Daphnia pulex: one gene and its partner. The protein of the gene in region 2 purifies or fractionates together with the protein of the main gene of each other region. This does not show direct contact. Links are inferred from orthologs where the notes say so. Each region holds a gene or a part of one and is shown on either strand. Other genes may lie near its edges.

Region 1 (4,331 bases), on a different chromosome or scaffold from region 2:
ATTTTTGTTGATACCGTAGGGCAAGGTCATAACGTGAATATGACGTACCAGGATGCAGACGGCCAAACAGCACTTCACGCCGCTGCTTATGGCGGTCATTTGGCATTGGTCCACATCATTTTGCAAAGCGGAGCGGCACTTGACAAGTTAGATCAGTCGCAAAATACACCTTTAAGCTTGGCTTTGATTCAAGGTCACAATGAAACTGTCAAATATCTAGCCATGGCTGGGTCTTGTTCATCGCTCAAGGTCTAAAAACATTATTAAATAACAGTTATTAATTCCTGTTCTAAACTTTGGGGGTACTTTCGTTTTTCAGGGAGAAGGAGGGATGACTGCGCTTCACTTAGCATGCAAAAATGGCAATCTAGAAGCTTGCCATTACATCATGACAATCGGAAATGGCAAAAATTTCATCAACGTTCAAGACGATGGAGGATGGACACCACTAGTCTGGGGTTGTGAACATCGACGAGTAGACATAGTCAAGTAATGATCAAACATTTACTGAACCTGAGGTCAATTCTACATAAAATAACTTTTCTTTTAGATACTTACTTCAATGTAAGGCAAATCCTAATGTGCGAGACGCGGAGCAGAACGTTGCTTTGCACTGGGCTGCTTTCTCTGGATCCGTTGATATTGTTGCCCTTCTACTTGACCAAGGATGTGAAGTGAATGCTGCCAACGTTCATGGCGACACTCCACTGTAAGTTGATTTTTGTTTCATTTTCAGGATGAGTTGATTTCTTTATCGTTACATTGTGCAATTAAAGGCACACGGCAAGTCGTCGAGATAACTGTGAATGCGCCTTGCTCCTGATACATAGAGGCGGGCGTTTCGATCTAAGGAATAAAGAGAATCAATTAGCTTTAGAGGTTTGTCCTGATAAGCGGTGTGACTCGGCTTTATTGTTGACGGTCAATATGAAACTTCAGCCATTTACTCAAACGCCGTATTGTGACTCTGAAAAATTCCTCTCAAAGTAAGATCAAGTATTCAGTACAAGACATATTCAAAGAAGACTTAAATCAACGGATTCTTCAATTGTTTTACAGCGACATCACTAAAGGGAAAGAGGCCAACCCGATTCAGTGTGTAAATGGATTTGACGATGAGCCTAAGCCTAACGACTTTATCTACATCACAGAAAACTGCTTCACGAGTCCACTACATGTCGACAGAACCATCAACTCGCTAACGGTATTGTTAAAATTACAACTACTAAATAGAAAAATAAGTTAAACAAAATTTAATTCTAGTTTTGCGAATGTGTTGGTGACTGCTCAACCAACTGTAACTGTTCTAGTCTCAGCTTTCGTTGCTGGTACGACGAAGAAGGCAAACTGGTGCCCGACTTTAATTTCGCAGGCAAGTCTTGGATACAAGTAGCCTATGTTAAAAATTACTAACACGTTTAGAATTATTGCAACAGATCCGCCAATGTTGTTCGAATGCAATCGTGCATGTCAGTGTCATCGGGGATCGTGCAACAACCGTTTAGTTCAACATGGAATTACCTCGCGTTTAGTTCTTTTCCGCATCGAAAACAAAGGTTGGGGCGTCCGAACAGCTCAACCCATTCCTATGGGATCCTACGTCTGCGAGTAAGTGCACCCGAACTTTGTCGTGATTTTCGTAGATAATAACCTTGTTTATCTCATCTCGTAGATACATTGGCGAAATCATCACAGACTTTGAAGCTGATCAACGTGAGGATGATTCATATCTTTTCGATCTGGATAACAAGGTAAGTTTATGAATGAAAAAGTACTTAAGCGAAAGTTGCTGCATGATCTTACCTATTAATATTTGTTAATAGGACGGAGAAACTTACTGCATCGACGCCCGCCGTTATGGCAATATAGCCCGCTTCATCAACCACTCTTGTGAACCTAACTTAATTCCGGTAAAAGTTTTTGTCGACCACCAGGATTTGAAGTTTCCGCGCATCGCATTCTTCGCCGTCCGAGATATTGAAGCCAATGAAGAGCTGGCTTTTGATTATGGTGACAAATTTTGGATTATCAAATATAAGTCATTCACGTGTTCGTGCCAATCGCCGAAATGCAAGTACTCGCAGTTGACGATTCACCGAACAGTAGAAGAATATCGGCGTAGCCTGCAACTTCAAGAACTCGAAAATGGCTACCAGCACTCCCAACGTTAGTAATAAAAAAACAAATTTCTAGTTGCTGCCAACTTATGCATGCGCTCTCCCAAATGCCATTCATTATTACTCTTCCCGTTATACTTTGTCTTACCTTCGTTCAAAGTTTTACATAATGAACTATTGTTGACTTGCAATATGCCATTTGGATTCAACACTACTCAAAATTTTGCCACCTACTCCCCACTTCCATTTGTGCTCTATCATACCTGCAAGTTGGTTTTTATTACCTACGAAACGTTAATGAACTCAATTTGGTAATGTTGAAGAAAAGAAACGATTGTTTACCGTTCCCTCACCTACTTAATTTTTAATCACCATGATTACGTCGTAATGAACTTGTTGTTGACAAGCAACTTTAGGAATGAAATGATCCCCTGCTAAACAAGTGCGTGTAGAAAAAAATCCTTGTAGCTACGCGTTGATCAGTATGTGCAATTTGTTTTTTCCTAGTCCCATGTTTTTTTTTTCCTATAGCTGTCCTACGTCTTATCAATGTTAATGGTAGCTCCACTTTACATGGGTAACACTATTCGATTCAAATGACTTGTGGGTGCATCGTGCATCATCTCTTCTGTAAATAAATCTCACCTGAATGTATGTTCAAGTCTCGTCTCGCATTTTCCTCCCTTGTACTTGTCAATTTTTCTTGGCAAAATATACCTCGTTTTGCGTAGATGTTGCTGTTTTAGTTCCTTAATGAGTGAGCCACTCCTCATTCTACCTGAAATGTATAGAAATAGTATTAATTCATTTCAAAAAGAATTTTTAAAAAAGAAACAAAATGAATGTTTTGTTTTTCTTTTAAACAAGCGCGAATAACGGCCTGATTGTGTAATATTGCACGATAAATGAAACAAACCTCAGAAAAAACGATAACACTGACGCAAAACTCTTCTGTCCAAAAAAGAAATTCATCAACATACATAAAAATTGCTTGTCAAACTACACCACCACAATATTAATGAAAACCATCATGATAATGACAGTGAAGTGATAATAATGCGCAATATGTCGATCTTGTCGGGAAGAACAAGGTGAAACAATCAGGTGAGAATTGTCTGGGTTTTTATGGGTAGGGAGTGAGTGAGGGAGTGGGAGATTAGGCGTAAGGAACACACTCAGTTGGAACAATCAGTACCAATTAAATTCTGGAAAGATACTTTGGCAAAGAAAAGTGCAATAACAATGCGTAAGGGCCCGTAGGCCTAGGCAGATAAAATCAGAAATTTAATGGCACAAACATCTAGTGACCGGGCTTCCAGTTTTACCAAAAACAAATGCGCAAATCAAAACCGAAGAAGTTGATAGAAATTATTCATCCACTTTACCACCAATAAAAATTCCGATAAAATCTTAACAACAAATTTTAGATATTAAAAATGTTTAAAACAAAAAGAATCTGGACTTTCTTCAATTTGTTTTCCTTAAAGCTGTTATTTAGAAGTGGGTTAACTTAATAACTGGTAGCATGAGAGGACAACAATTCTCGCACTTTCAACAGCTGCGAATCCTCATTAGCAATTGGTTAAAAAGGTCTAAAAAACGGTTGTGCGTGGCTCCAAAATTACGTCGTTAAACCTGAACATTGTTCAATTTTAACAACGTAATGTTTCACTTATGATTCATGAGGAATATGTAATGTGATTTAAGGAATTGTAAGTGAATGGCTTCTGACTTTGGATAAACCTAAATGTCGGGAAGGTGAGCAGAAAAATCCTCACCTTAATATCAAAGAGCGGAAGTGACAAAATAGGGATAAGGAGGATATTTGAATTAACTAATAAATTAGCTATGAATCTCTGCTCTGTCATTCCATCTCAAAGATGTTTTGTTTTTCACTTTAAAAAATGCAAGACAATGCTGAGATCATAACGGTGATTCGTGCTCTCAAAATAAGATTGAAAAAAAAACGACCTGATGGATTTGTTGGTCGAACGGGAGGAAGAGAGCACGATAAAACAACCGATACGAGAGTGACAATGATGAAACGGGGAGAGCATATCCTCACATGCGATCCAATCTGAAATGATCTTCAGTTGATGGATCAGTTACAAGCGTTGAATTTGTCAAGATCTGCAAGCCGTCAAAATCGATCGGATCGAGTCCATCTATAATGTAAGTTGACCAAAAAAAAAGGTTAGGATATTAGCACCGCTA
Region 2 (5,505 bases):
AAAATATGGGAAGGTTCTGTTTTGAACCTTCACGCTCGCTGACTTCATAAAAAAATATTATAATTTAAAACCTTGCACATTTTCGTCATCTGCATTTAGATTGTCTTTCCCATCTGGTCACTCTTCCTTTTCGGCTTACACGATGCTGTTTTTGGCCTTCTATCTCCAACGGCGGATGAACTGGTCAGGCTCAAAGCTACTCCGGCCAACTATCCAGATATGCGTATTAATGCTTTCGTGGTACACTGGCCTTTCCCGAGTTTCCGACTACAAACACCACTGGTGCGTTTCCATGGACTTATAATTAAACTTTCTAAGACTATCAAAATCCCCTTTAGTGCGCAATCAATCTTTTGGGATTTATTATGTCTTCTTTTCTTGTTTACAGGAGTGACGTGCTGTCGGGATTTCTCATCGGCGCCATCGCTGCTTCCTTAACGGTATCAGCGCTTTTTTAATTTACAACAGACGGCTGTTAGTTAAGATGTGGTGGCCAACTGATTCTTGTGTGTTGAATTCAAAACAGGCCCTTTACGTCTCCAGACTCTTCCAGCCGTCCATTCGTCGAGACATGGCCCTCGTGCCACAGAGTAGAGAAGATGTCGAAATGCAACAAAACCATCTGCAAGCTTCAGCTGGCAAATGACTCTTACTGGCCGGTAATTGATTGGGCAATCAATTTCCAGACTGAACACAAGTGAAGGAGGGAAATAACCGCCACTGTCAACCGTTTCGTCGCTACATACCAGTGGACTACTCTTCGAAAATATTAGTTGATACTTTTTTAAAAATTCACAAAATAATATAAATAACTGGCTTGTTCATAACCCCCTCCCCCCGTGATCACACAGTTAGGTGCCTTTCTGTTTGCCATACGTATTATTATTATTATTGTTTAGTTCAGTACCCAGAAATTTCAACATTCACTGAGTTGCTCCTTAACCTAACTTACACACAACAAAATCTCACGAACGCAACTGTAAAGAGAGAATTCACGCTCTTTACATAATAATAAGTTGCCGTATAACAAATACACACGATTTTTAGCAAAGGAACTTCTCCACTCATTCCACCTTCAAAGACTTTTTACATTTTAGTCTGTACGTGACTCACTACTAGTGGGGTGCGCTGAATTTAGAACAGCAAGTTTGTGAATGGGGTCCATCTTTTTATTGCAAACATGCACGTTTGCTGGAGTCCGCAGTTAACGAGATCGTCAACTTTTTATTTCGGTGCATGGCTAGTAAGGTAAACAGAAGGGAAAAAATTTTTTTTCGTGCGAAATATCTATATTAGTATCGATAAATAAAAGTAGGATACTAAAAAAGAAAGTTGTGAATAATGATCAAGGTTAATGAAGCCATGATTTATCGTTTCGGGAATAATGAGGTCATCATCTTCTATTTGTTGCATACGTTTGAAGTGAACTCATCAAACGTAGGCTATCATCTTCACGGTTTCTGGGATAAATTCCAGAATTTAAACATTCATCTTCTCTCATTTGGGGTAGTTTAAATGCAGTTTAAATACCGCAATTCAAACTCATGTAATTATTGAATTGTGTACTATACGTCGATACACGCATTGAAGGACGCACGGTTCTTACACTTTGTAGAAAGTTTGAATTTAAATTTTTTTATTTCTTATAATCTTATAATCTTATATCATTTTTTCATTTATTCATTTTATTTTAGATTGCGTCTTTTTTTAGAAGGTGGCACCACTGTCTCTGGCACTGTCTTCCATAATCCATAAAAAGGCGCGAAAAACGATCAGCTGAGAGCCATGACTCCATGAGTTAGTTGAATTGGCAGTGCTTTGTCAGTGAGAGATTTTGATTTTACGAATTCATTATTTTAGGTTTTTTTTAAAGAAGTCACGTCGGCCATCAGTGGATAATTTTCAACAAGTAAGTTTAAGTAGAATTATTATTCCCGATACATAAAACATACTAGACAGTTAACAATGTGCTTTAGCATTGTTTTTTTTTACAATAATTGCCTTATTCAAGTGTATTGGTATTTTTATAGGTATATTTGACAACCATAATGAGAATAGAATGCACAGATGGTGATGGGGTTGCAGGAAATGAAGTCAATGTGAAAGAAGAGCCCCCAGAACTTCAAGCTAATAGTGAATCAAGCCCAGACACTACACCCGTTGAAGAAGAAACCAAGCCGATGCCCAAAACAGTTGAAGAAGAAGCCAATAAGCCAACATCTAAACCAGTAACTGTATTGTCAAAGACAAGAGGAGTTAAAGTTAGGTATACATTTGATGAAGCTGCTGCGTCTGGTGAGGGGGACGATGATTTCCTTCCTGGCAACACAAAAAAAAAACGAAGAACTGCCAGCAGGCATGCAAAGGTAGAATTGCCAGATATTGGTGGCTATAGGCCATCAAGGAAGAAGAAAATCAACCGTAAAGATCCTAATCGCTGTCATGTGTGTCGTCAAAGGTAACTTAATCATTATTTTTCTTGTCTGTTATCATAAAATCAATTAATGATTTCATTTCCAAGGTTTGATTCTCCTGATTTGAAATATTTCCCTGGTCCACCAGCAGATTCCATTGAAGAAATTATTGCTCTAACTGATCCATCGTTGAGCTTGTTCACTGGTGAAGAAGAGGTCATGTCAGAATTGGATCAAAGACCCATCTTGAAGCTCACCCAGTTTGGCATTTACGACGAACCTGGCCATTTATGTCATCTAGACGGGGGTGCAATCGAAGCTAACCATTTACTCTTCGCTTATGGTTACGTTAAGCCTGTGTGGAACGATAACCCGGGTGTCGAAGGAGGTATTGCGACGAAAGAGATCGGGCCCATCAACGAGTGGTTCATCAGTGGCTTCGATGGAGGAGAAAAAGCAATCATGTGTATGTTTTAATTTATTAATTAGATGTTTTAAAAATATTCCTGTATTCATTTATCAATTTTCAGGTTTCGCCACTTCTTATGCTGACTACTATTTAATGTCGGCTTCAGAATTGTACGAACCCATCATGAACGAGTTGGAAGAAAAGATTTTTCTGAGCAAGACGGTCATCGAGCTCTTGATCGAAGACGACAACGCCGAATATGAAGATCTACTGACTAGACTGCAGAATTCTTTGATGCCCAATGGTTCCCGCGTATCGGAGGATTCTCTTTTGCGCTACGCCGAATTTGTCTGCGATCGCGTATATCACTTTGATGCAGCTGGAGCCGAAGACGAGCCGCCACTTATTCTTAGCCCGTGTATGCGTACGCTGATTCAATTGTCAGGTATCACACTCGGTAAGAGAAGAGCTACCCGAAAATTGGAGAAGAGACGCCAGCCTAAAGCCAAAAAAGGCCCCAACTGGACAAAAGCTACTACTACGCCATTGGTTGGTTACGTCTTCGAGAGCTTTTTCCGTGATCAAATGGAGCAAGGAGAGGACAAATTCGGCCCTACGTCTGCTCCTCGCCGTACTCGCTGTGGTATTTGCGAAGCCTGCCAGCAAACAGACTGCGGTAAGTGCAATTTCTGTCGAGACATGGTGAAATTTGGCGGTTCCGGTCGCAGCAAACAGAGTTGTGTCCTCCGGAAGTGTCCGAATAGAGCTGTTCAAGTGGCAGACGACGATGACGAACTGGACGCTGTTCTCGACACGGAAATTGAGGTGGTGAGTCTGGATGTCGACCACAAAAAACCTGTCAAGCGCCACGCCTACAAAATTGAATGGGATGGACCGGAATTGAAAGAAGTCGACGATCTCACTTTCTACTCTGCCGCGATTGTCAACGGAGACATGCGCGTCTTTGCCGGAGGCCACGTCACCATCGAACCGGATGATCCTAGCATTCCCATGTATATTGCCGAAGTCATAGCTTTATGGGAAGATGGGAAAAGTGGGGAGCAGTTTCTACACGCCCGCTGGTTTTGCCGTGGAACTGACACTGTGCTGGGAGAAACTTGCGACGATCCCAGAGAACTTGTTCTGATTGAAGATTGCGAAGACCTACTCCTGTCTGCCGTCGTGAAAGTTGTCAACGTCAAGTACAAACCAGTGGATCCCGTCAAATGGAAAGCAGAAGGTGGATCAGATGACCCGTCTTTATTTCAGAGCGAAGAAGATCATTCCGACACGACGTTTTGGTACCGCTATCTCTACCATGGACGGACCGGCCGTTTTGAAGATCCACCCGAATGCCCGGACGTAGTAAACAACATCAAAGGATGTCCCTGCTGTGATCGCCTGGATGTTATCCGCCAACGTGATTTTGCCAAATTGGGCAACAAGTTGGATTCAGGCGGTTTTGACAGCGTCACATGGCACGAATTGGATATCAAAGTCGGTGAAGCCGTTTTCCTCGAACCGGGCGCTTATGCAATGCGGGGGCCAGATGGGAGTATTGTTAAAAAGGAGAAGATTGATCCAGAGGAAGATGATATTTTCGGAGTAGAGTACGACGAAGAATATTACCCAGAAAAGTACAGGAAAACGGACAACATCAAAGGATCGAATAACGACACACCCGACCCATTCTGTATTGGCTATGTCGTTGGTATTGCCTATAATGGCATCCTGCGTAAGTTAATTATTAACAATTAATATTTAATTCATTCGTGTCTAACGTGATTTCTTTATTTTAGACAACAATTTGAATGCTCGTGAAGTCTGTCTAAAAGTTAAACGCATCTACCGTCCGGCCGACACCCATTTGGGGCGTGATGCAGGCTTTCGCTCTGACTGGAATTTGGTCTACTGGTCGGATGAGATACACAAACTGGAGTTAAACAAAGTTGTAGACAAGTGCGTCCTTGTCTGCAGCACTGCCATTGATGAACCCATTGAAGAATTTGTCCGGGGTGGACCTAACCGCATGTATTTCAATAAGGCCTACAACCCGGCTGAGCGGGAATTTGAGCCGCCACCAGTGGAAGCCGAGCGAATCGGTTCCAGTTCCAAAGGAAAAGGTGGAAAGTCACTCAAAAGTGTAAAATCTATTCAGCCGACCTACCCATCGTATCCTAAAATTGAACCGCTCAAGACTTTAGACATTTTCGCCGGTTGCGGCGGATTGTCCGAAGGCCTACACCAGTCGGGAGTGGCCAAGACCTACTGGGCTATTGAGTGTGAGCCTACGGCAGCTCAAGCTTTCCGACTCAACAATCCTGATGCTGCCGTCTTTACCGATGATTGTAATACTATCCTCAAGATGGCCATTGACGGCCTACTGGAACAAAACGGACAAGCTCTACCACCAAAAGACGGCGTAGAGCTGCTCTGTGGAGGGCCGCCATGCCAAGGTTTCAGCGGCATGAATCGCTTCAATTCTCGCCAATATTCATCATTCCGTAACTCTTTAATTGTTTCTTATTTGAGTTATTGCGATTACTACCGCCCGCGATTCTTCATTCTGGAAAACGTCCGTAACTTTGTTTCATTCAAGCGGAACATGGTCCTGAAACTAACAATGCGCTGCTTAGTTCGAATGGGCTATCAATGCACTTTCGGAGTCCTACAAGCCGGTAA

The links. Proteins that work in one complex are often made in the same cells at the same time.
Region 1: the proteins of DNA (cytosine-5)-methyltransferase 1-like (region 2) and histone-lysine N-methyltransferase EHMT2-like purify together in Homo sapiens (affinity purification with western blotting; 3 studies listed by BioGRID, with this or other methods). This does not show direct contact. The link is inferred for Daphnia pulex from reciprocal best matches to the Homo sapiens genes DNMT1 and EHMT2.

The regions. Positions count from the first base shown.
Region 1 is NC_060028.1:9,378,450-9,382,780, reverse strand, and holds the end of histone-lysine N-methyltransferase EHMT2-like, read left to right. Parts: intron 1-19; coding exon 20-249; intron 250-319; coding exon 320-489; intron 490-550; coding exon 551-709; intron 710-776; coding exon 777-986; intron 987-1,059; coding exon 1,060-1,204; intron 1,205-1,263; coding exon 1,264-1,372; intron 1,373-1,436; coding exon 1,437-1,608; intron 1,609-1,672; coding exon 1,673-1,751; intron 1,752-1,823; coding exon 1,824-2,171; 3' UTR 2,172-2,847; downstream 2,848-4,331. Other genes in the region: CREB-regulated transcription coactivator 1-like, read right to left, coding at 4,179-4,282. UniProt on the Homo sapiens protein: Histone methyltransferase that specifically mono- and dimethylates 'Lys-9' of histone H3 (H3K9me1 and H3K9me2, respectively) in euchromatin.
Region 2 is NC_060019.1:5,827,032-5,832,536, reverse strand, and holds the start of DNA (cytosine-5)-methyltransferase 1-like, read left to right. Parts: upstream 1-1,739; 5' UTR 1,740-1,909; intron 1,910-2,030; 5' UTR 2,031-2,048; coding exon 2,049-2,458; intron 2,459-2,521; coding exon 2,522-2,880; intron 2,881-2,944; coding exon 2,945-4,558; intron 4,559-4,622; coding exon 4,623-5,505. Other genes in the region: putative phosphatidate phosphatase, read left to right, coding at 100-282, 389-440, 527-646. UniProt on the Homo sapiens protein: Methylates CpG residues. Preferentially methylates hemimethylated DNA. Associates with DNA replication sites in S phase maintaining the methylation pattern in the newly synthesized strand, that is essential for epigenetic inheritance.